Linked DNA regions of Pelodiscus sinensis. The main gene of each other region encodes a partner of the protein of the gene in region 2 in a complex. Links are inferred from orthologs where the notes say so. Each region holds a gene or a part of one and is shown on either strand. Other genes may lie near its edges. The genes, in order: SUFU and GLI1.

Region 1 (10,558 bases), on a different chromosome or scaffold from region 2:
GCCAAGAGAATGCGGGGTCACATCTGTCCGCAATATTCAAGGTGTGGACGCACCGCGGATCTACATGGAAGCGAGATGATATTCTCTGTCTTATTCTCTAGCCCTTAGTGCGTCCCAACATGCTGTTTGCTTTTGTGCCTGCCACTGCACACGGAGTGGATGTTTTCAGAGAACTATCCACAATGACTCCAAGATCTCTCTCTTGAGGGGAAACTAGGGTTGCCAGATGGTTTAACCAAAAATACCGAACACCCCCTTCCCTCAAAAAAAAAAAAATCTGGGAAAAAATTCTGTTGAGGAAAAAAAAGGGGGGGAGACCAGCATGGCCCCTTTAAGAAATGCTTTTGAGCGTTTTTGGCCCTAACATGCTGCCGGCTGCCATCTTGTCTTCCTGCTTCAGGCCAGACAGCTCCCCTGCGGCACCACGTAGGCACCCAGGATTTTCACCTCCTGGCTGGGAAGAAATCAGAAAATACTGGACATTTTAGGTATCTGGTATTTTCTGACTTTGTTTACCGGACAGGAGGTGAAAATATTGGACTGTCTGGGTCAGTACTAGATTCCTGGAAACCCTAAGGCTGTGTCTAGACTGGTCAGTTTTTCCGGAAAATCAGCCGCTTTTCCGGAAAAACTTGCCAGCTGTCTACACTGGCCGCTTGAATTTCCGCAAAAGCACTGACGATCTCATGTAAGATTGTCAATGTTCTTGCGGAAATACTGTGCTGATCCTGTTCGGGCAAGAGTCCTTTTGTGCAAAAGTGTCAGTGTAGACAGCTCAGATTTGTTTTCCACAAAAAAGCCCTGATTGCGAAAATGGCAATCGGGGCTTTTTTGTGGAAAACAAATCTAGATTGGCACGGATGCTTTTCCGCAAAAAGTGCTTTTGCGGAAAAGTGTCCGGGCCAATCTAGACGCTCTGTTCTGAAAATGCTTTTAACGGAAAAGTTTTCCATTAAAAGCATTTCCGGAAAATCATGCCAGTCTAGACGTAGCCTAAGAGAAACAGCTAATTTAGACCCCATCATTTTATACGTGTAGTTGGTATTGTTTTCCAATGTGCATTACTTTGTCTTTATCAGCATCACAATTCATCTGCTATTTTTGTTGCTCTAGTTTAGTGAGATCCTTGGGAAGCTCTTCACAGTCTGCTTTGAACTTAACTATCTTGAGCACTTTTGTATCACCTGCAAATTTTTCCACCTCACTGTTTACCCCTTTCTCCAAATTTTTTATGAATCTGTTGAATGTGCTTGGTCCCAGTACAGACTCCTGGGGGACTAGGGGTGTGAAAGGTTAGCCAGTAAACGTCACCCCAAATGGATAATGCTTGCTGTTTCCAGTAACCAGTGGCTGGAGCAGCTCCCTGCATGCTGTGGGCACAGAGGGCCCACTGCAGAAAGGGGCTGTTTTTGTCTGGAGCAGCTCCTGTCCAGGGTGGTCCCTGGTGCCCCACAGGCAGGCTCTGCTCCCGTGGAACAGTCTCTGTTTACGGGGAGCCCAGGCCTGCCACAGACAGGGGCTGGGAACTAGGAGCCAGCAGCAGCTCCAGACCCAGCCTCTCCCCCTAACGTTTAACCAGTGAACTAATTAACTAGGATTTGACATCCTTATACAGGACACAACTAGTTACCTCCCTCCATTCTGAAAACTGACCATTTTTTCCTACTTTTCGTTTCCTATTTTTAACCAGTTACCCGTCCATGAAATGACCTTCCTTCTCCCATAACAGCTTACGTCACTTAAGAACCTTTGAAGAAAGACCTGGTCAAAGGCTTTCTGGAAAACCAAGTGCACTACAGCCACCGGCTCCCTGCGGCTACATGCTTGTTGATGACCCTCAAAAAATGTTAGTGTATTGGTGAAGCACAGAGCCAGTATTTTTGTTCCTCTGCAGGTTTTCTTTACGAGAATATGGCAATGACCATACTAAATCAAAGCAATGATTCATCTAACCAGAAATTCTCTCTATCACTGACTAGTACCAGCTGCTGCAGAGGAAGGTTTAAAAAATCACAGCCTGTAATGAACTATGATGAAATTACCTACTGGCTGCGTCTAGACTGGCATGATTTTCCGGAAATGCTTTTAACAGAAAAGTTTTCCGTTAAAAGCATTTTTGGAACAGAGTGTCTAGATTGGCATGGACGCTTTTCCACAAAAGCACTTTTTGCGGAAAAGCGTCCATGCCAATCTAGACGCGCTTTTCCACAAAAAAGCCCCGATCGCCATTTTCACGATCAGGGCTTTTTTGCGGAAAACAAATCTGAGCTGCCTACACTGGCCCTTTTGCGCAAAAGCTTTGTGCGAAAGGGACTTTTGCCTGAACGGGAGCAGCGTAGTATTTCCACAAGAAGCACTGATTTCTTACAGTAGGAAGTCAGTGCTTTTGCGGAAATTCAAGTGGCCAGTGTAGACAGCTGGCAAGTTTTTCCGGAAAAACGGCTGATTTTCCGGAAAAACTGGCCAGTCTAGACACAGCCACTCTGTGGGAAAGTGTCTCACTAAGCCTATCAGTCATTAATAATTTTTCCCCTAAGGATGAGTGACTATATCCCTAATTTAAATAAAAAACAAGTGAAGCCTTGTTTTGCAGGCTAATGTGGTTTATGGATGTTTTCATTACCCATCTTAATGACTAACCTTGGAATAACTTAAAAAACAACAAATAGTCTGGTAGCACTTTAAAGACTAACAAAACATGTAGATGGTATCATGAGCTTTCCTGGATACAGCCCACCCAGGAAAGCTCATAATACCATCCACATGTTTTGTTAGTCTTTAAAGTGCTACCAGACTATCTGTTGTTTTTTAAGTTTATCCTGTAACAGCTAACTTGGATACCCCTGAAGCTCTTTAACTTGGAATGCTGCTAAACTCTACCTCAGTGATACCTTGTAGTAATAATTTCCATGGATTAATAAATAGTTCATGAGGGAGGAGGGGAAATCTTTCAATTTTCAATTTGTTGTCTTTCAAATTAAGTGCTTCTCTGTATGTCTCTGTTAGGAGAGAGAGGAAATGACAGTGGTTAATCTCCCTTTTGTATATAATTATTATTATTTGATTTATTATTCATCCATCATATCCCTGGTAAGTAGCCCAAGTTTTTTCATCTCTCTCTATATTTAATCAAAAAACAGGACGCTGTAGCACTTTAAAGACTAACAAGATGGTTTATTAAGTGATGAGCTTTCGTGGGCCAGACCCACGTCCTCAGATCAAATAGTGGAAGAAAATTGATCTGAGGAAGTGGGTCTGGCCCACGAAAGCTCATCACTTATTAAACCATCTTGTTAGTCTTTAAAGTGCTACACAGTCCTGTTTTTTGTTTCAGCTGCACCGGACTAACACGGCTACATTTCTACTACTATATTTAATCAGTTTTCCATCACTCTTTGAGCCCCATCAATTTCTTCTATGGTCTTTGAGGTGACTGACTGAATAATCCATGTGATGGTGTATTTTCTTTTTGTAATGCCATTCTAATATTTTCAATCCAGTAGAACTTCAGGATTAAAACCTCAGAGATATGTACTGACCAGCCAACCACACCACCTCCTTTGGAACTAGAAGTATGCACTCAGACCACGCCAGAGACCAAAATAAAAAGAAGCCAATACAGTTCAGTGTGTTAAATGTAAACTACTAAAGGGAACTATTTCTGGGCTTGTTTCCTTTAAATTAAGATGGCCATAAGTAGCATTTTTCTTCTATATAGTAGAGTTTCAGAGCTGTATTAAGTCAAAGTTCAGTTGTAAACTTTTGAAAGTATAATCATAATATTTTATTCAGAGTTACAAACATTTCAGAGTTTAGCTTTTAGGTGCTACTGTACTAATATTGATTCATTCTTTATCCATCCTATTAACATTCTGATTGTTTGCTGCTGGCACTGAGCAGAAAGTTATAGTCATCTGTGCAAAATGAGAGTCCTTTTTGTGAGTGCTGCTTTCAGTTAATTGTAATCAGTGTGCATGAAGAGTGTTTAAGCACTGGGTCATTGGATCCACTCTGTCTCATTCACACAGTGAGCACTTCTGTGCTGACCTTTCCATTTATCCCAGTAAAGCTAATCTCCACTCAGTTATTTATCTTAATAAATGTAATTTGTAGTGTTGCTGTAGACTAAGTTCCCTGTAAGTTGTGCAGCAGTGCAGCAGGCTATTTAGGACCTCACAGATGGGAAGAAGCATCCCTGCGGTGTTGAAGCTACTGTAGCCAAGGAGAGGGAGGGGCCCCTTGCAGCTGAGGAGAGGTGCCTTTTACCTCGCCCTGAGCTGCTGCAGTGAGAGAGGGCTGAGGGGAATTCTGTTTTCCCTGCTATAATGCTGAGGCAGCCTGCATCCTGTATCCCTTATTCCTGGCTCCATCCTAGACCTTTCACCCCCAGCTAGAACGCTCACCCCCTCTGCCACAGTCCTGACCCCCTTAGCGCCCCCCCCCCCCCGTCCACATGTCACCTCCATAGTGGTGCACGTAACAACATTCATTCTACACAGGCATGTAAAACATTAGAGGGAACACAGGCTGCAGCTGTGTTGGTCCCAGGAGATGTGAAAGTTGGGGGGGGGGCGGAATGGGGGTGAGGTAATATCTTTGTATTGAAGTTGAATGAACTTCTGTTAGTGAAGAGACAAGCCTTTGAAGCTACATAGACAGAGGAACTGACAGTCATGTTGGGCCCTTGGGAAAGGTGAGGGGGGCCGGCTGCTTACTCCTGAAAGGGGTGCGGCCTTAGGTGGAAAGGGTGGGGCTGAGGGCAGCCAGCTCTCAGCACCTCCCCCAGAGGGCACTACGTTGGACCCTTTCCCCGGCCCTAAGAGCTGCCCGGAACATGCCATGCAGGGCTCTGGCGGCAATTGAAAAGGCCTGGGGCTCCAAGCGCCACTTCTGCAGTAGCAGAGGTGGCTGAGAGCCCCGGGCACTGGGGTAATTGCCCCCTTTGCCCCACCCTGTCAGTGAGCCTGTACAGAGAGCTCCTCTGCAGGTCTGAGTGTCTTGGCTGACTAGATTGTGACATTTTCAGTGGTTACACATTTACATGGGGGGGCAGGCAGCTCCGTGGGAGTCAGTGCACGGAAACGGCTTAAAAGCCAGCTCCCTGTGCGGATCAGCTCCCTCCTACCCCTGCCGCCTCTGAGACAGAGGCAGCAGGGGGGAGGAGGCGCTGGCTGCTATTCCCCTCCCACCCCCCTCCAGATCTGGAACACTATGAATCAGCTGATTTGTGGCATTCCAGCTCTGGGAGGGGGCAGGAGGAGCTGGGGTGTAGCACGGATCAGGGGAGTCGCGTGCTCCGAAAGCGCAGGAGGGACGGGGAGGAGTTGGAAGTGTGGGGCTCCGGTGTGCTGGCGCGGGGGGGGGGGGGAGGAGTTGGAAGTGTGGGGCTCCGGTGTGCTGGCGCGGGGGGGGGGGGGGAGGAGAGCAGACGGGGTCTGTGGGCTGCAGGTGAGGTCCCAGCGGGCTGCACGTTGCCCACCACTGGCCCAGGACTGCACGAAGCATCCAAGGGCCCTATTAACAGCACAGGGCCTTCTCCCTGCCCCATAGCTTCCCCCTTCCTCTGCTCACCCCTACAGGCCCCCCAGCTCCCGCCCCTGCCCTCTGCCCCCCTATAGGGCCCGTTCTCCTCTGCATGGGACTTCTCCACGGGGCTCCCCCAGCGCCCCCTCCCCCTCCTCCGCGGGCTGCTGCAGCCGCAGGCCGCCGCCGCCAGGGGGCGCGCGCGCGCCTCTCCGCCGGGCCGGGCGCCTCCTGCGCCGCGATTGGCGGAGCCGCCCGCCCGTCACGGCGCGGGCAGCCGGGCCCGCCTCCTGGGCAGCCGCCGGCGGACGGAGCCGCCTGGGCCGGGTGCGCGCGGAGCCGGAGCAGCCGCCTGGGCCCGCGGGCCGCTTCCGCCCCTCCCCCCCCCGCAGCCGCACAGCGCCCCCCCCCCCGGAGCGCGGGCCCATGGAGGGCGCGAGGCCTGGCGGGGCCCCCCCCGGGCCCGGCTCCTTCCCCGCGCTCTTCCCCCCGGGGCTGCACGGCATCTACGGCGCGTGCCGCCGCCTCTACCCCGAGCAGCCCAACCCGCTGCAGGTCACCGCCATCCTCAAGTACTGGTGAGCGGGGGGGGGAGTGAGGGGGGGTGGGCTGGGGGGGGACTCCCGGGGGGGGGAGTGAGGGGGGGTGGGCTGAGGGGGGGCTCCCAGGGGGGGAGTGATGGGGGGTGGGCTGAGGGGGGGCTTCCTGGGGGGGAGTGATGAGGGGGGGCTCCCTGTGGTGGGTGAGCTATGGGGGGGCTCCCTGGGGGGACGGGCTAAGGGGCATCTCTCTGAGGGGGGCTCCCTGTGGTGGGTGAGCTATGGGGGGGCTTCCTGGGGGGACGGGCTAAGGGGCATCTCTCTGAGGGGGGCTCCCTGTGGTGGGTGAGCTATGGGGGGGCTCCCTGGGGGGACGGGCTAAGGGGCGTCTCTCTGAGGGGGGCTCCCTGTGGTGGGTGAGCTATGGGGGGGCTCCCTGGGGGGACGGGCTAAGGGGCGTCTCTCTGAGGGGGGCTCCCTGTGGTGGGTGAGCTATGGGGGGGCTCCCTGGGGGGACGGGCTAAGGGGCGTCTCTCTGAGGGGGGCTCCCTGTGGTGGGTGAGCTATGGGGGGGCTCCCTGGGGGGACGGGCTAAGGGGCGTCTCTCTGAGGGGGGCTCCCTGTGGTGGGTGAGCTATGGGGGGGCTCCCTGGGGGGACGGGCTAAGGGGCGTCTCTCTGAGGGGGGCTCCCTGTGGTGGGTGAGCTATGGGGGGGCTTCCTGGGGGGACGGGCTAAGGGGCATCTCTCTGAGGGGGGCTCCCTGTGGTGGGTGAGCTATGGGGGGGGCTCCCTGGGGGGACGGGCTAAGGGGCATCTCTCTGAGGGGGGCTCCCTGTGGTGGGTGAGCTATGGGGGGGCTCCCTGGGGGGACGGGCTAAGGGGCGTCTCTCTGAGGGGGGCTCCCTGTGAGGCAGGCGATCTAAGGGAGGGTCCCTGTGGGGGGGCTTCCTGGTGAGGTAGGCTAAGGAGGGGCTCCCTGTGTGGGGCAGGCTAAGGGCTCTTGTGTGGGGCTCCCTGTGGCATTCGCCTGGACCGGGAGGGGCTCCCTGAGTGGGGAGGGTTGACTCCATCTGTGGGTAAGGATGGGGGGGTCCTGTGGGGGCAGGTACATTGTTCTGAGCGGAATCAATTTGGCAGATCTACTCTTGCTCTTTATTTGTATCTGCCCTCCTTGGGAGCCACTAGAGCCCAGTCCGGTCTGTTTTCTGTGGATAGCTGGAGGTCCGCAGGGTGAAACTCAGCATTGGGGTATCCTGGCCAGTGCAGGATTAGGGGTTGTTTTTTTTTTTTTTTTTTTTTTTTACCCCACAAAAGCTTTTCTGGTGCTTTGGAAAACTTTAGTTAAGGCTCTGCATGCTTTGGTGTTTTCCCTTTAATTTCATCAGGTCTGCTTCTGGTTAGGCAGAAGTAGAAAAGTAGTTGTTCCTGGGCTGGTCACTGATGAATCCAGGCATCCTTGCAAAGATGCACTGCTCTTGTGAGAATCTAGACCAGTGCTTTTTGGATGAGGAAGGCGGATTCTTCTGGTTTGTTGGCTGCTAATACAAATCTGGGATCTAGACCTAATTGCTAAATATCTAGGGAAGCTTGAAAAGTAAATGGTTGAATTTTGTCTGAGTGCAGGCTAACACTGCACAGATTTGGTACCAAAGTGGGTTGATCAAATCGCTACAGCAATAGAGATTTAGATGTCTGCCTTTAGGCATTCAAGTGCTTTCTCTTCTGTCAACAGTTTATGTCCATGTCAACTGGAATGAGACAAGATTTGTGTGATATGAAGGTAGAATTGGGTCTATAATGATTATGATAAAGTCCTCTTTGGATTTTAGGAATAAATAGCTCTGAGTATCTCCTACGGTGCTAATCGGTTGAGAGATGTACACTCATGTCCTAGATCCTGAAAAAGGCGCTAGTGGTAGGGATAATACTGTTTTTCTGTGGTCAGATCTTAGGCCTTAGCTCTAATGTTTATCACCATTGTTACCTCCTGTGCATTTTAATTGGTGGTCATACCAGTGGCAGCATGTCTAGCACAGTCAGTATATACTGCAGCTGCTACCCAGAGGAAATTTTAGCAACAGGTCTAGTGTTGACATAGTGTTATAAAGTCTATCAGAGTCTTTAAACATTTGTAAAATATTTGCTGAATTCATTGTTGTTCACACTTTCCTGTGTGGTTGTCTTCTGTCCTCATTCTTCCGGGCTGCAAGCAATTAGAATGGTTTAGATCAGTGATTGTCAGAATGAGTCTCGTGAGCTGCAAGTGGCTCTCTAATGTGCACGTGCTATTAAAGCACTGTGTGATTTAATTATTAACCAGCCTAAGTTATTAACCAATCAGAATGCTTTTGCGATGTTGTTAACCAATTGTAGTTGATAAAATTTGGTCATTTTGTTGTGTGACTTGTACTATAATAAATGTTATTTATTTATGAGAGACAGTTCACAGTACTGTGGCACTTTTGGGTAATGTTGATTGATAATTTGGCTCCTGAACCACTGAGTTCCAGAGTATCACTAGTTTAGATTCAAAGAGGAAATAGCTGAACAGAGCTCAGTCCCTCAGGGATAATAATACAACTCTAATCCATTTTTAATTATACGTAACCAGTCTCTTAAAAAAAAAAAAGTTGTGATTTACAGGATATTGCAGTGTTAAAAGGGTTCTCTGGCTTGCAAAACAAGGCAAGTATCTATGTAAACATGCAGCAAAACCAAGTAAACTGCATACCTTTTGAGGGGGAAAAAAACTGAAGAATGAAAAATATTTCATGTATCACATGTATTCTTTTAACATGTTTCATTTGTATATTTTTGGAAATTAATTCAGAAAGCTTTTGGAGCTTTTGGAAGCACTCCTGTGTCTATGTGTGTGGAAACTTCTTTGTAATCTTCAGATTATTATATTTAACCACCTTTCTTAATAAGAGCTCCTGAAGTAAAATTCCTTCATGACAAAAAATTGCAAGCAATAGACCAGCATTGTTATATTCCTTACTTTGATAGAAAAGTTTTCAAAATTTGTGGAATTGAGCTGTTTCATCCTTGTTCTTTCACCGCTTTGTTTCCTGTCACATTTTATTGTGTCAAGGCATTTTTGTAATAGTGCTGTTACATTCATTAAAAATGGAATTATCACGTTACCTCTTTTCACTAATCATCCATTAGGAGGGTAAAGCTGAACACTTGCTCAGGTCTTCCTCCATGACAGAAGCACAGGAAGTTTAACATTGGTCAGCTCAGTGGGGAATTCTTCGTGCAAGTATAGTTTTCCCTGTGACTAGCCTTATTGCTAACATCCCCTATCCAGTTGACCATGGTATAAAACATGTATATCCCATGCTGAAAATTTAACTTTCAGAAGTTCTACTTGTTCTAAAAACATTCCAAACACTTCCATTTATCACAATTTTGTGTCTGAACCTTTATACAGAGAAATGAAGATTACAGTGCAGTTGCAAAGTGCGCATTGTAGCGAACTCCTGCCGAGAATAGTATTTGAAGAGGTATTTGGAAGGCTAAAAAGTAATGAGGGTGCAGAGATTTCTGCGAGATATGGGCAGTTCTGGTGGATTATTTGGGTAGCATGAAGAGTGGAATTAAGTGTCATACAGACAGGCCTCTGTCCTGATGAAGTTAAAGTCTAGGGTCCTGAGATACCACTGAGGAGCCACAAATTATAGCAACGGGGCCTGACCAAACAGCATATAAAAGGGTGGGGGGTGCAGCCATTTTAGTTCCATGGCTTTTTTGTTTGGGTCTTTTTACATTTGTTTTGCATAATAGAGTATTTTTGTTTTGACCAGAAAGCAGGTCATACCGGAAGCAGTTAAACAGCCACTTGCTATGTTCCATAAACATGGCTGACATCTTGTGTCTTCTTGTTTTCATCTGTCCTTTCTGTTGTCTGTATAGACAGTACGAATAGCAGGGGAAATAGCTTGGCACATTTTCTCATACTGACGTGGAGTTACCTTTCTTTCTGCACAGCCAGATGTGACTGCAGATTGCTAATGAGTCCACTAACCTTGTCAGAGTGTCAACAGTGTGTAAAAAAAAAAAAAAAAGTCTGCACATTCCATTTTATGTAAAATGGATTATTGTATTAAGTAGTCTGCTAGTTGATATGTCCTGACTGTAAGTAGTGTTCCACTTTGCCAGGGGTTCTCTGCCAGGGGTATGAGGCCATGGAAAGGTGGAGGACTATGAGCAGGTTTCAGGAGGTCCACCAAGCAAGGCCAACATTAGACTCGCTGGGGCCCAGGGGTGAAAATCAAAGCTTCACCATGTGGGCCTGAATTCCAGGGCCCTGAGCCATTCGGGGCTGAAGCCAAAGCCTGAGCATTGTAGTTTGCTGAGGCCCTGGGCAGTTCCTGTGCTTGCTAGTCCTTAACACGCCTCCTGGCTCTTATATGCAGAAAACCTGAAAACCTGTTGTGGTACAGGTGGGCCATGGAGTTTTTATAGCATGTTGGGGGTCTCAGAAAGAAAAAG
Region 2 (11,194 bases):
TTTCTGCCTCTTCCTGCTCCTGGCAGCTGCACCCTGGTTTCTCTGCAGCTTTGGCAGGGTGGGAGGGGCTGCTGGGAGGCAAAGCGGAGACACAACTTCACTGGGAGCCCTACGGGGGGGCTCTGCAGCCCCTCGCCTTCCCCACGGAGCCTTGCCAGCCGTCTGGCGCCATCGCTGCAGCCTGCCGGCACTGGGGAAACTGAGGCAGGGCGAGGTGGTGGTTTCGGACCCACAGACACGCTGCGCGTCCGAGTGAGCAGCAGAACCCGGGCGTCCCGGCTGCCCCAACGGGGGCTGGGCGAAGACACCCATAAAGCCAGCTGGGCGGTGGCACAGGCCGGGGGAGACGCGGCAGGCGGGGGGGCCGGGTGAGGCCTCGTGTGAGCAGAACAGGGCAGGCGAGGGGCTGAGGGGGGCTGTAAGCTAGCAGCCCACAGCACAATGGAGCTGGCCCCCTTTGAATGCAAAAGGTCACCCAGGTGCCACCAGGTGCGGGGTGTCCCCCCCCCCCCCCAGCGGGCCTCGAGTTACGGGAGTCTCCAGCTGTGGGCTCGGCTCCAGCTTCCAGCCTCGCCCTCCCCACCCCAGGGCCCCGACATGTTGCAAGGTGTCCAATGACTCACTGCATGGGACGGAGGCTTCTCTGCAGCGGGCAGCCTCGCCCGGCTCCCTGTGCCGCACTGCAGCCAAGCTCCAGCCAGCTGTGCCGGAACCCCTCACCTGCAGCCTCTGCCAGCCCCCCAGCCCGGCCCCCTAGCCTGGCCGGTGCCCCTCACTGCCGACCCGCAGCCCCCCAGCCCTGCCGGCACCCCTCACCCCCAACCTCCAGCCCCTGACCCCCCAGCCCTGCCGGTGCCCCTCACCCCTGATCCACAGCCCCCAAGTGGGGGACTGAAATCCCCCACCCACATGACCCATAGACCAGAAGCCACGCTGAGAGCGGGCGAGCGTCCGGGACGGGCCCGAGAAAAGCCGGGATGCGAGGCAGCCTCCCCCGCAGCTTTAGAGCTGCGGCCCCCGTCTGGCCAGGGGTACCGTGCCCAGCTGCCCCGGAGCCGACAGGAGCCGGCGCTGGGCGGGGACCGAGCGTCACATGGAGTCAGTCGCACAAATCAACAAACAGGCGGAAGGGCTGTACCCGTCACCGAGGCCACTTGTATCCCAGGGCCTGCCCTGCGTCCGCCCCGACCCCTGCCCTGCCGCCTGCTCACCCTGCCTCTCCGCCAGTCCTGGCACTGCCTCACTTAGCCCCTGCCCCTCCGCCCTGGCCTGGCACCCGCTGCTTTGGCAGCCAGAGACGCCCAACAATTTACAGCCTGGGAGACAGGGAGTCGTAGCTGCAATGTCACCGCCCCAGAGCCGCAGAGGGGCCAAGGGACCCAGCCGGAATCAGCGGTGAAGGCAGGAACAGGGCCCTGGCTCCCGGCCCCTGGCCACCCAGCAGTCCCAGAACAGCCCTGGGGGGCCCAGGGGCAAACAATGCGCTTGATGTAAATTGATATTTAACCTTCAAAACCAGTCCCTGCCTAGTGACCCCGGAGCCTCGCACGGCCCCGGCGCTGCAGAGCTGGGCCAGGCCCCGCTGGCTCCTGGCACCATAGGATGCACCCTTCGGGCCACGGGGCGTGGCCGAGTGCAGGGCCCATGTGTGGCCCCTGAAAATGGGGCCCAGAGAGCGACGGAGACGCCCAGGGAGCCGGGCCGAGCGGGGGCCAGGGGGTATTCAGGGACGCGAATGCACGCTCTCCCTGGGAGCAAACCGCTTCTCAGGGCTGCAGCTCGGAGCCCGCGCGCTGGCTGAACCGGGGCTTTGTCTACAGGGCTGAATTTCAAGCTGTTTCCAAGCCGATGCGGTGCCCCCGCGTCAGCACCCGGCTTTGGGCCTCAGCCGCGGCCCAGGGATGTGAGCAGAACTGGCTGCCCTCCTGCACTGCGCCCGCTGGGCCCCTGTGGCTCCTAACGGGGGGGTCTGCTTGGAAAAGCCACCCGCACCCCGGGCACCGAGCCGGCAGGCTCAGCGGAGACCGAGGGCTCAATGGGCCGTGGTGCGTGAGCCCCCGAAAGGCCGAGACTCTCGGGCAGAGTTTGTAGGTAGAGATCTGGGGTCCATGCAGCCTGGCGGGCTCTGCTCTCTGGTCGGGTCCATGATTTCGAGTCGGGTCCATGCAGCCGGGCAGGGCCCTGATCTGGGGTCGGGTCTTTGCAGCACCCGGCCCGTCGGCACCTCCAGGTGTTACCACCAGGCACCTCCTGCCGAGCCCCCCGCCACGGAGGGGCTCTCCCTTCCCACCCAGCCCTGAACATCTCTGTGGCAAGCCCAGGAACTGCTGACGCGGCAGCGTGCAGCTCAGGGCCCCTGGGCTGGGCCGAGGATTCCCCGGGTGGGGCAGCCACTGGCCTCTCCCGGCCCCCGGGTTTGATTCCCGGTGGCTTCTGGGACGCTCCTCTGGGGAGTGTGAAAGCTGCAGCCTCGCCCTGAACGGGCCCTGCCAACGCTGCCCGGCAGCCGGCCAAGGGACCAGGGGTGCGGCGGGACCGCGCCCGGGCCGGCTCCGGCTCCCTCTGCCCGGCGAGGTCAGGCCCCGGCCGCCGCGCTGGAGATGGGCCTGGCACCGCGGAGGGGCAGGGGCTGGCCCAGGTGTTCCTGGCACGGCCGGGGGCTCTGGGGGGGGGGGCAGCCGGCACGCCGGGGATTCCCAGCAGCCACAGACGGGCTGCTCCAGGTGCCCACTTATCACCCAGCCCCATCGCCTCCTTCCCCCCAGATCCACAACCCCGGCTGGGGGGCATCCCCTGCTCTCGGGGCCTCAGCAGCATCCGCCCCCCGGCTCCCTCCTCCTGGCCTGCGGGGCCCTCCCCGCCCCTCCACAGATACCCCAAGGGAGCAGCCCGCCCTTTGCATTCACCTTGAGGCTGCACCTGTCCCTGGAGTCTCCACCCTCCCTCTCCTCCACCTGGTCTGTCCCGGTACCGGCGTCCACCCCGCCCGCCCGCCCCAGGCTCTGCCTCGCACCAGCCGGCCGCATCTCCTTGGGCGATCGCGGCCCAGCCACCAGGCCTGCGTGTGTCTCCGCAGCCCAGGAAAGCACCCCCGCAAATTCCAGTTTGGCAAAGTAATTGGCCGTGCCCCCCACCCCACACACACACTCCCGGCTGGGTTCATTGGACCTGATCTGAGTCCAGACGTCGGGAGCCTCCTGGATTGCATTGCCAAAAGGAGAGGAAGGGAGAGGAGAAAAAAGCGACTTGGAAACTTTGCAAATTAAACTTGGACGAAGGGAAATTTACTGTCAAGTCAGCTGGGTTTTGTTGGCCATGGGGCACATAGGAATTCGAAGCCAACTAGCTACAGTTGCGCTTTGCCTGTGGGCACCGAAGTCTGGAGTCACGGAATAGCTACTTACGCATCTCGCCGCGGCCAAAAAGGATCAAGCCTTTCGCAAGGTTTGTGTGGTTGAAAAAAACCCCCAAAATTAAAATCCTTCCGGCAGGTCCTGAGACAAAGTGTCCTAAAAGCAAAACAATCCCCTGGAACCAGAAACCACAATACTGGGCAAAATTCCTGCTCCCCTCAGAATTGTAGTTAACATTTTATAAAAGAAAAAGTGATTCTAAAAAAATGAATCGTACCTTTGGGAGCTGGAACGGGATAGTGACTCACGATCCAAAGGAAGGACCCTTTTCTTTTCCTTTTCAGTGTTTTCTCCCCCAAAATCGCTCGCTTTGGTGCCTTGAGGCTGGAACTCCACTTTTCGGGGGACTTGGCTTCTTTCCCGGAGAAAAATGTAACATCCAGCGAAAGGATTAAACCAGCAAACCCAAACCGGCAGCCACGGAGCCTGCGAGCCTTCCCCGTCACAAAACTTTCCCCATCTTTCGTTTCTGTCTTTTCCCTGGAAATCCACTCGAAGGAAAAAAAATGGTTAAAAAATGTGCTTTTTGTCCCATCTGCCCGACGCAGGCCGGGTTATAAATATTCCATTCTCAGACTGCAGCCCGGGACCACCTTGGAGAAGGAAGTTTTGTTTTTCTTTAAGAAACTTTCCTGATGATTTCTTGAGTCTTTCCACATGGGAGAGCGACTCAGCGTTACGCTGCTCGGCTTTGATGCTGCGCTGGGGCTTTGGGGGAAGTGTCAGGAAAGACACAAAAAAAATTTTTTCTCCTTCTTGCCCCTTTCAAGTTGTGGAGCAGTTTTTCGAAGCTTTTTTTTTTTTTTTTTTAAGAAAAACTTTGAAGGCTGAGGGTGGAGGAGGGTTGTGCACTGTGTGAGGCGGTGTGAGGGAAGACCCTACAACTGAATTCACACAGCATGCTGTCTACAATTTCAGAGACACTTTGAAAACCTGGGATGGATCAGTGCACACACTAACACACATGCACACACAGAGCCTGCAAAGACACACACACTGAGCGTGCGCGCACACACATACACACACACAGAGCGTGCAAACACACGCACAGTACGTATACACACACGCACGCGCACAGTACGTATACACACACAAACACACGCACGCGCACACAGTATGTACGCGCACACATGTATACACACACACACACTCACACCAACAGGCAGCCAAATCCGGCTGCAAACTCCCAACTTGCCCCATCCAGGCATCATTTCGGGTGGGCGCTTTTTCATGCTCTCTGCCTGCTCGGCCTCCGTTTGTGGCCCTTGGGGCTGTGGTCTGGACCCATCCGGCTCTCAGGGGCTGTACAAGAGGGGAGGAGTTCACATCGAAGTTCTGGGCCTGGAGGGGCCGGGGTGGGAGGCAGGGCCACCGATGCAGAGTCACGGCGAGGGACTGGGGGGGCAGGCAGGACGAACGTGGGTGGTACCGCGATCTTGGGCAGCTGCTTGCAAGGGCGCTGCCTCCGAGTCCACGGGGCTGGGGCAAACGGGGTGGGGGACTTCTCCCCACTCCGGAGCCCTGGGGGGAGTTAGCAGGAGCCGTGGCTTGGAGCCAGCTCTCCAAGGACTGGGTGCTCTCAAACGACCCCCCAAATGTCGCGGCTCAGGGTGTGGGGTGAGCGTAAGAGGGGCCTGCGTCCCCAGCGAGGGGGTCTCAAGCTCAGGGCCTGGAAGGAAACATCTCCAGGGGATGAGGTTTTCCAAAGAGATGGCAAATTTTCGGGAGGTGCGGGGAGGCATTCCCGGTGTGGGAGCAACACATGGGATTTTCCCTGCCCACCCCCAGCAGTGCCAATGAGTTGTCATCCGCAGGCCCCTTCGCCGGGAGCCCTTCCCTCACTGGGGCTGCTGGCAAGGGGGTGTCTTTGGGGAGTCTCGGGGGGGGGTGAGAATCCCCTTTTCTCGGCTGTCAGTCTGACAGATGTGAGCCGGCTCCGGGTTGTGCCCGGCAGGGCTCCGAGCGCCCGTGCGTGGCAGAGCCACGAATCCTCCCTGGGTCGCAGGGTGCTGACCTCACAGGGCCCCCATGATGTCAGAGCCCCTGAGCTGTGATGTCACACGGCGAGGGGGCGTGGCCAAGGCAGCACATCATGATGTCATGCCGGCAAGGTCGTGTTACGGTGCCAGACTGTGACCGTGCCAGGCCGCCATGATGTCTCACTGCTGCCACCTCCCCCCGTGATGTCACACTGGGGCGATGCCACCTCATGGCCCGTGGGGGGGGGCAGATGCGCAGAGCCGAGGGGGCCCCACCTGCCACTCTGGGCTCTGGTACAGCTGGGCCAGGCTGGCCTCCCTTCCCCATGGAGCCCAGTTCTCCCCCAGAACTCACCCCCCCTTCTCATGGTTCAACCCCAGCTCCCAACAGCCCCCCCATAGGGTTCCCCTGAGTTCCCCACACCCCCCCCAGGGTTCTTCTGCCCCTCACTCTCCCAGCTCCCCCCGCCCACCTTCCCTCTCAGCACCCAGCAGGAGGTGCTGGATTCCTACTGGGGGACATCTACGGGTGCTGGGGGGGGCAGAGGATGCTGTGGGGGCGATCTGCCCCAGCACCCGTCTGGGGGTTCGGGTCCCCAGCCGGGGGGTGATGGACTGGACATGGCCCCTCAGGGCCTGTGCTGGGACCAGGAGCCTCCGAGCCCTGGTACAAGCGGAACAGCCGGGAGGGGGGAGGACAGGCTGGGAATAGAACCCAGGAGTCCTGGCTCCCCCCCCGCCCCTGCTCCGCCCACCAGACCCCTCGCCCTCCCGGAGTGGGGAGACTCTCCCCTGCCAGGCCCAGGTTCAGGCTGATGCAGGTTTCCAGGCACATGGCACCACCCAGTTATCTCCCACCTCCCACATGGCACCTCTCCTGGCTCTGGGAGGAGAGTGGGGTGTAGTGGTCAGAGCAGGGGGGCTGGGAGCCAGGACTCCTGCGTTCTGGAAGGGGAGTGGGGACCCTGAGAACACACCTGGCCCCCCGTGTGCCCCATAGCAGGGATCCCCAGCCCCCCCTCTCCACGGCCTGGGGTTTAACAGCACAAGCCTGCTGGGAACAGGGTTGAAAGGGCTTGAGATTCCCGGTGCAGAGTGGCCCCAGCCCTGCTCCTCTCCTGGCCTTGCTCCATGCCCATGCAGCTACCTCTGGGGTGGGGCCAGGCAGCCACTAAACTGCCACAGGGCAGCCGCATTGTGAAAGGATCCCACCCTGGCCTGGCACTACAGAGGGAAACTGAGGCAGGCGCCTCCCACACAGCAAGCAGCCCTGGGGAATCTTAGGGGCTGCCTAGCCAACCCCACTCGCTTCCATCGGTGGGCAGAAGCTGCAGCAAGCCCGGGCCTTGCACCCGGTTGATTCCCTGGATTGGGCCAGATGGTCGCTCAGTCAGGGAATGAGGCCAGGTCCCGTCTACACTCCACACTGCAACTGGGCAGAAGCAGTTCTGGCTACCAGGCCAGGTGGGGCCTGAGAGCTCAGTGACGTGGGACATTTCTGTCCCAGATTCTAGCTGCTCATCCAGGGCTGGGCTTGGCCCAAACAGCCCTGCAGGGAACCCAGACCCCAGGCCCCACCCTGCTTGCTCCCACGTGGGGGGAGAAGCCCCAGGCCTTGGGCGGGGGGGAGGGTTGTGCCCACATCAGCTCACCCAGCAGAGCCGGCTGCTCCCAGCTCTGCCACGGGTGGGCGCGGGCCCCATGCCTCAGTTTCCTCCCCTGGAGGATGGCCACTGCTGTGTGTGTGTGTGTGTGTGTGTGTGTGTGTGTGAGAATCATCTGTCTCCTCCTCCCATGCATCTGCACAAGCCCTGTGCTCTCCGCTTGGGCCAGACAGCTGGGCTGGGCTGCGGGAGCTTGTTTCCGTGGCTGTAAAGCGGCATCGGGCTGCCCTTCACCTGCTCCTCGTGTCACCGGCTGGGGGACAAGGAGGGGGACAAGGAGGGGCTGGCTCCAGGCCTTGGGGCAGGAGTGTTGCTCTGAAGACTGGGGCACTGACTCTCCATTGGGGCCCACCCTCCTCCGTGCCTCAGTTTCCCCATCTCCTGGCCAGCTGCTGCAAGTGTGGGGAGGAGTCTTCCTCACTGGTCCGGAGAAGAGAGCCCGGCCCACTGGTGGTGGTTTCGCCAGCGCGAGGAGCTTGGGGCCGGGAGGTTGGAGGGGGAACACGTGCCCACAGCCTGTCTCGGGGCGTTTCCCTGTGGGGGGGGCCCTGGGTTGGGGGGAAGCATGGAAGCTCCAGTTCAGCTCCTCCCCCCCAACCTCACCCCCAGTTTTGCTGCCTGCGAAATCCCCCCACCCCAAATTCTGCTGTCCCCCGAATCCCGCCCCCGAATCCGAGTCTTGCTTGCTCGCTGCCCTCCGGGAAGGCCGTAGGGTGAATCTCGGGGGGGGGGGTGTGATTCCTGAGGCACCACATGGCAAGCAAACAGGCACCGGGGCCAGGCTCCCAGTGCTGGGGGGATCCGGGGCCAGCTGCCGCTTGGGTAACTCCGGCAGGCGGTTGCATTTCCCGTCACCTCCAGACCTGCCCCGCGGCCAAGGCCGAACTGGCTGTTCCCAGCAACAGGGCCATGCCCCATCCGGCCCCCCCCCCATGGCAGCGGGAGCACCTCACTCCCTCGTGGGGCCAGACCCGCTGCCAGGCGAGTGGGCTGGCCTGAGGCAGGTCCGGGTGGGGAAACCGAGGCAGGACGAGGCCACGCAAGGCAGAGTCTGCGTCAGAGCTGGGCCGGCCTGTGCGACCTCCCCCCCCCCCCCCGCCCCGGCAGGGCTGGGAAGAGAACTCAGGAGTCGGGCACCAGGGTAACGACCCGCCCTCGCGGGGTTTATTTTTAGCCCAAGGTGGCCCCGCCCCACCCGCCATCCCATTGGAGTGTTGCCCTGCCGACCGAATGCGGGGCAAAGGGCTGGCCGGGAGGGGGGGGGGGGGGGAGCGTGGCCTTTGCCCAGTGGGTGACATCATGGGCCAGAGCCAGACCCCCCCCAACTCGCCTGCCCCCTCCCAACCCCGCTGCCTGGGCCGGACCCCCCCTCACTCGCCCCCTCCCAGCCCCACTGCCTGGGCTGGACCCCCCCCCCACTCGCCCCCTCCCAGCCCCGCTGCCTGGGCCGGACCCCGCCTCACTCGCCCCCTCCCAGCCCCGCTGTCTGGGCCGGACCCCCCCCACTCGCCCCTTCCAACCCCGCTGCCTGGGCCAGACCCCCCTCCACTCACCCTCCCCCTTCCCCTCCCAGCCCCACTGCCTGGGCCGGACCCCCCCCACTCGCCCCCTCCCAACCCCGCTGCCTGGGCCAGACCCCCCTCCACTCACCCTCCCCCTTCCCCTCCCAGCCCCTCTGCCTGGGCCAGACCCCCCCCCACTTGCCCTCCCCCTCCCAGCCCCGCTGCATGGGCCGGATCCCCCCCCTCGCTCTCCCCCTCCCAGCCCCGCTGCCTGGGCCGGACCCTCCAGCCGAGCGGGACCAAGGGGGACACAACCTCGTGGGACAGGAGCGCTTGCTGCATTTGGGGTCTGTTTGCAGCAAATCCCTGTGGACCCCCCGCTCTGCCTGCAGCCCCAGCCGGCCTGGCCGGTGCCCCCCAGCCCCGCCTTGCAGCCCCGGCCAGCCTGGCCCTGGGCTCCCCCAGCCCGGCCGGTGCCCCCCACCCCCACCCTGCAGCCCCTGCCAGCCCGGCCTGTCCCCCTCCCAGCTCTACCCCGGCTGACAGGGAGTGATGTGCAGACGCCCCCTCGTGGTCACCAGTGAAATGAGCACTGGGCGGGGTGGGGGGGTGGGGATTTGGATCCCAGCGCCCATCTGTCCTGGGGGTGGAAGGCATCAGGACTGGGCAAATGTGACTCTGCAGGGGGCACTAATGCAAACACCCTCCCCCCCCACACACCCCACACTGCCTATGGGGGGGCGTTGGTGCACACACCATACACACGTGCACACACACACTGCCCACGAAGGTGTTGGTGCAAACACACACACACACACACACACACACACACACACTGCTGTGAGCCATGGAGCTTGTGGGCCCAATCCTGCCCCCCAAGGTGACACCTGGGCGCTGCCAGGAGCTGGGGGGGGGGAGCCACAGGGCAGCAGCTGCACACGGCCAATGTCCAAGCTCTCCATGGGTGACAGGGGCTGCCTGGGGCCAGCTGGACCCAGGAGCAGACCCCCCCCCCTCCTGCCAGGCTTGGCCCAGAATCTGGCTCAGCCTCCCCCCCCCCCGCAATGCAGGGCAGCAGCAGGGAGGGGGCAGAACCGAGTTTCCCTCCCCACAAAAGCTCAACCACTTCCATCAGTGACCCCCCCCACCCCCCGCCCCAGCAAAAACCGTGTCCCCTGTTCCCCTGCTCCCCAGCCGAGCGCCCAGCGTTTGCCTCGGGCACCGCTGGCTCCTGCTCCGTCCTTGGCGCTCGCCCCCTCTGACTGCAGCTCCATGCGCACCTGAGGGCTCCGCCCCCAAGGGCCCAGGTCCTGCGGGGCTGGGGGGCTGGAAGACGTCCTGGGGCCCCTGGTGCATGGGGCTCCCGGGGGCGGGGGGCTCCTTGCTCCTGTGAATGCCCCAGAACTGGTCCCCGCCCCACGGCCTCCTGCTGCGTCCAGGCTGGGCTCGGGCAGAGCGAGACCCGACCAGACGGCAGGAGGGACAGACGGACGGACACACACACCCAGCATCCTGCTCCTTCGCCCCCCCCCCCCCCAGCTCGGGCTGTGCCTTTAAGAAAGTGAAAGCAGGTGACAAGGTGGATTAAAGTCTTAAGGGCAGGACGCCCCCCCCAGCTGCACACACCAGGCTGGGTGGGTTAGTGTGTCAGCGTGTCGCTGAGCCGCTGAGCCGCACGCAGGCAGCCGGGCACCTCCAGGCCTGTGCTACTGAACACCAGGGGTTCCAGCAGGGCTGGGGGGGGCAGGGGCTGTGGGGCGGGAGTGAGGGGCACCAGCAGGGCTGGGAGGGCGGGGGCTGCGGGGCGGGAGTGAGGGGCCCGGCAGGGCTGGGGGGGGCAGGGGCTGCGGGGCGGGAGTGAGGGGCCCGGCAGGGCTGGGGGGGGCAGGGCTGGGGGGGGCAGGGGCTGCGGGGTGGGAGTGAGGGGCCCGGCAGGGCTGGGGGGGCAAGGCTGGGGGGGGCGGGGGCTGTGGGGCGGGAGTGAGGGGCCCGGCAGGGCTGGGGGGGCGGGGGCTGCGGGGCGGGAGTGAGGGGCCCGGCAGGGCTGGGGGGGGCAGGGCTGGGGGGGCGGGGGCCGCGGGGCAGGAGTGCGGGAGGCTCTGGGGATAACACTCCAGAGCAGCTTGGCCTTTCCCCCCCAGGCAGGGTGGGGGAGGGGAAGGCGGCTCCATCCCAGCTGATCCCCGCATGTTCGGCGGGCGCTGGGCTGCCCGGCTGACGAAAGCCGCCCTTTGCCCGCGGCGCTGGGCACGAGGCCGTGAGAGCGATCAGGGTTCGGCCCCAGATAACGCGGCCCTGAGCGGACGCTTGCACAATGAGATCGGGGGGGGGGGCACGGGGGGGGAGCCCAGCAGGGAACAGACACGGCCAGGTGGAGAGTGGGGGAGACCTGACTGATCCTACGCAGCCCCCCGACCCCCAGCTCGCCCGACCCCCAGCTCCCCTGACCCTCAGCCCCCCTGACCCCCAGCTTCTCTGAGCCCCTCTGACCCCCAGCTCCCCCGACCCCCATCTTCTCTGAGCCCCAACCCACAGCTCCCCCGACTCCCAGCTCCCCTGACCCCCAGCTTCCCTGACCCTCAGCCCCCCGACTCCTGAGCCCCAGTTCCCCCGACCCCCAGCTTCTCTGAGCCCCG

The links.
Region 1: the proteins of GLI1 (region 2) and SUFU are in contact, whole or in part, in a crystal structure (PDB 4KMD), measured with the Homo sapiens proteins. The link is inferred for Pelodiscus sinensis from reciprocal best matches to the Homo sapiens genes GLI1 and SUFU. Residues at the interface, in NP_005260.1 of Homo sapiens: Gly119, Ser120, Tyr121, Gly122, His123, Leu124, Ser125, Ile126, Gly127; in NP_057253.2 of Homo sapiens: Leu144, Tyr147, Asn153, Thr154, Phe155, Gly158, Asp159, His160, Val161, Ser162, Trp163, His164, Gln212, Asn265, Leu266, Ser267, Gly268, Val269, Ser270, Ala271, Glu376, Leu380, Lys398.

What each region holds. Positions count from the first base shown.
Region 1 is NC_134718.1:72,979,897-72,990,454, reverse strand, and holds the start of SUFU (suppressor of fused homolog), read left to right. Parts: upstream 1-5,916; 5' UTR 5,917-5,949; coding exon 5,950-6,101; intron 6,102-10,558. UniProt on the Homo sapiens protein: Negative regulator in the hedgehog/smoothened signaling pathway. Down-regulates GLI1-mediated transactivation of target genes. Down-regulates GLI2-mediated transactivation of target genes. Part of a corepressor complex that acts on DNA-bound GLI1.
Region 2 is NC_134729.1:2,898,320-2,909,513, forward strand, and holds the start of GLI1 (zinc finger protein GLI1), read right to left. Parts: upstream 4,607-11,194; 5' UTR 3,631-4,606; intron 1-3,630. UniProt on the Homo sapiens protein: Acts as a transcriptional activator. Binds to the DNA consensus sequence 5'-GACCACCCA-3'. Regulates the transcription of specific genes during normal development.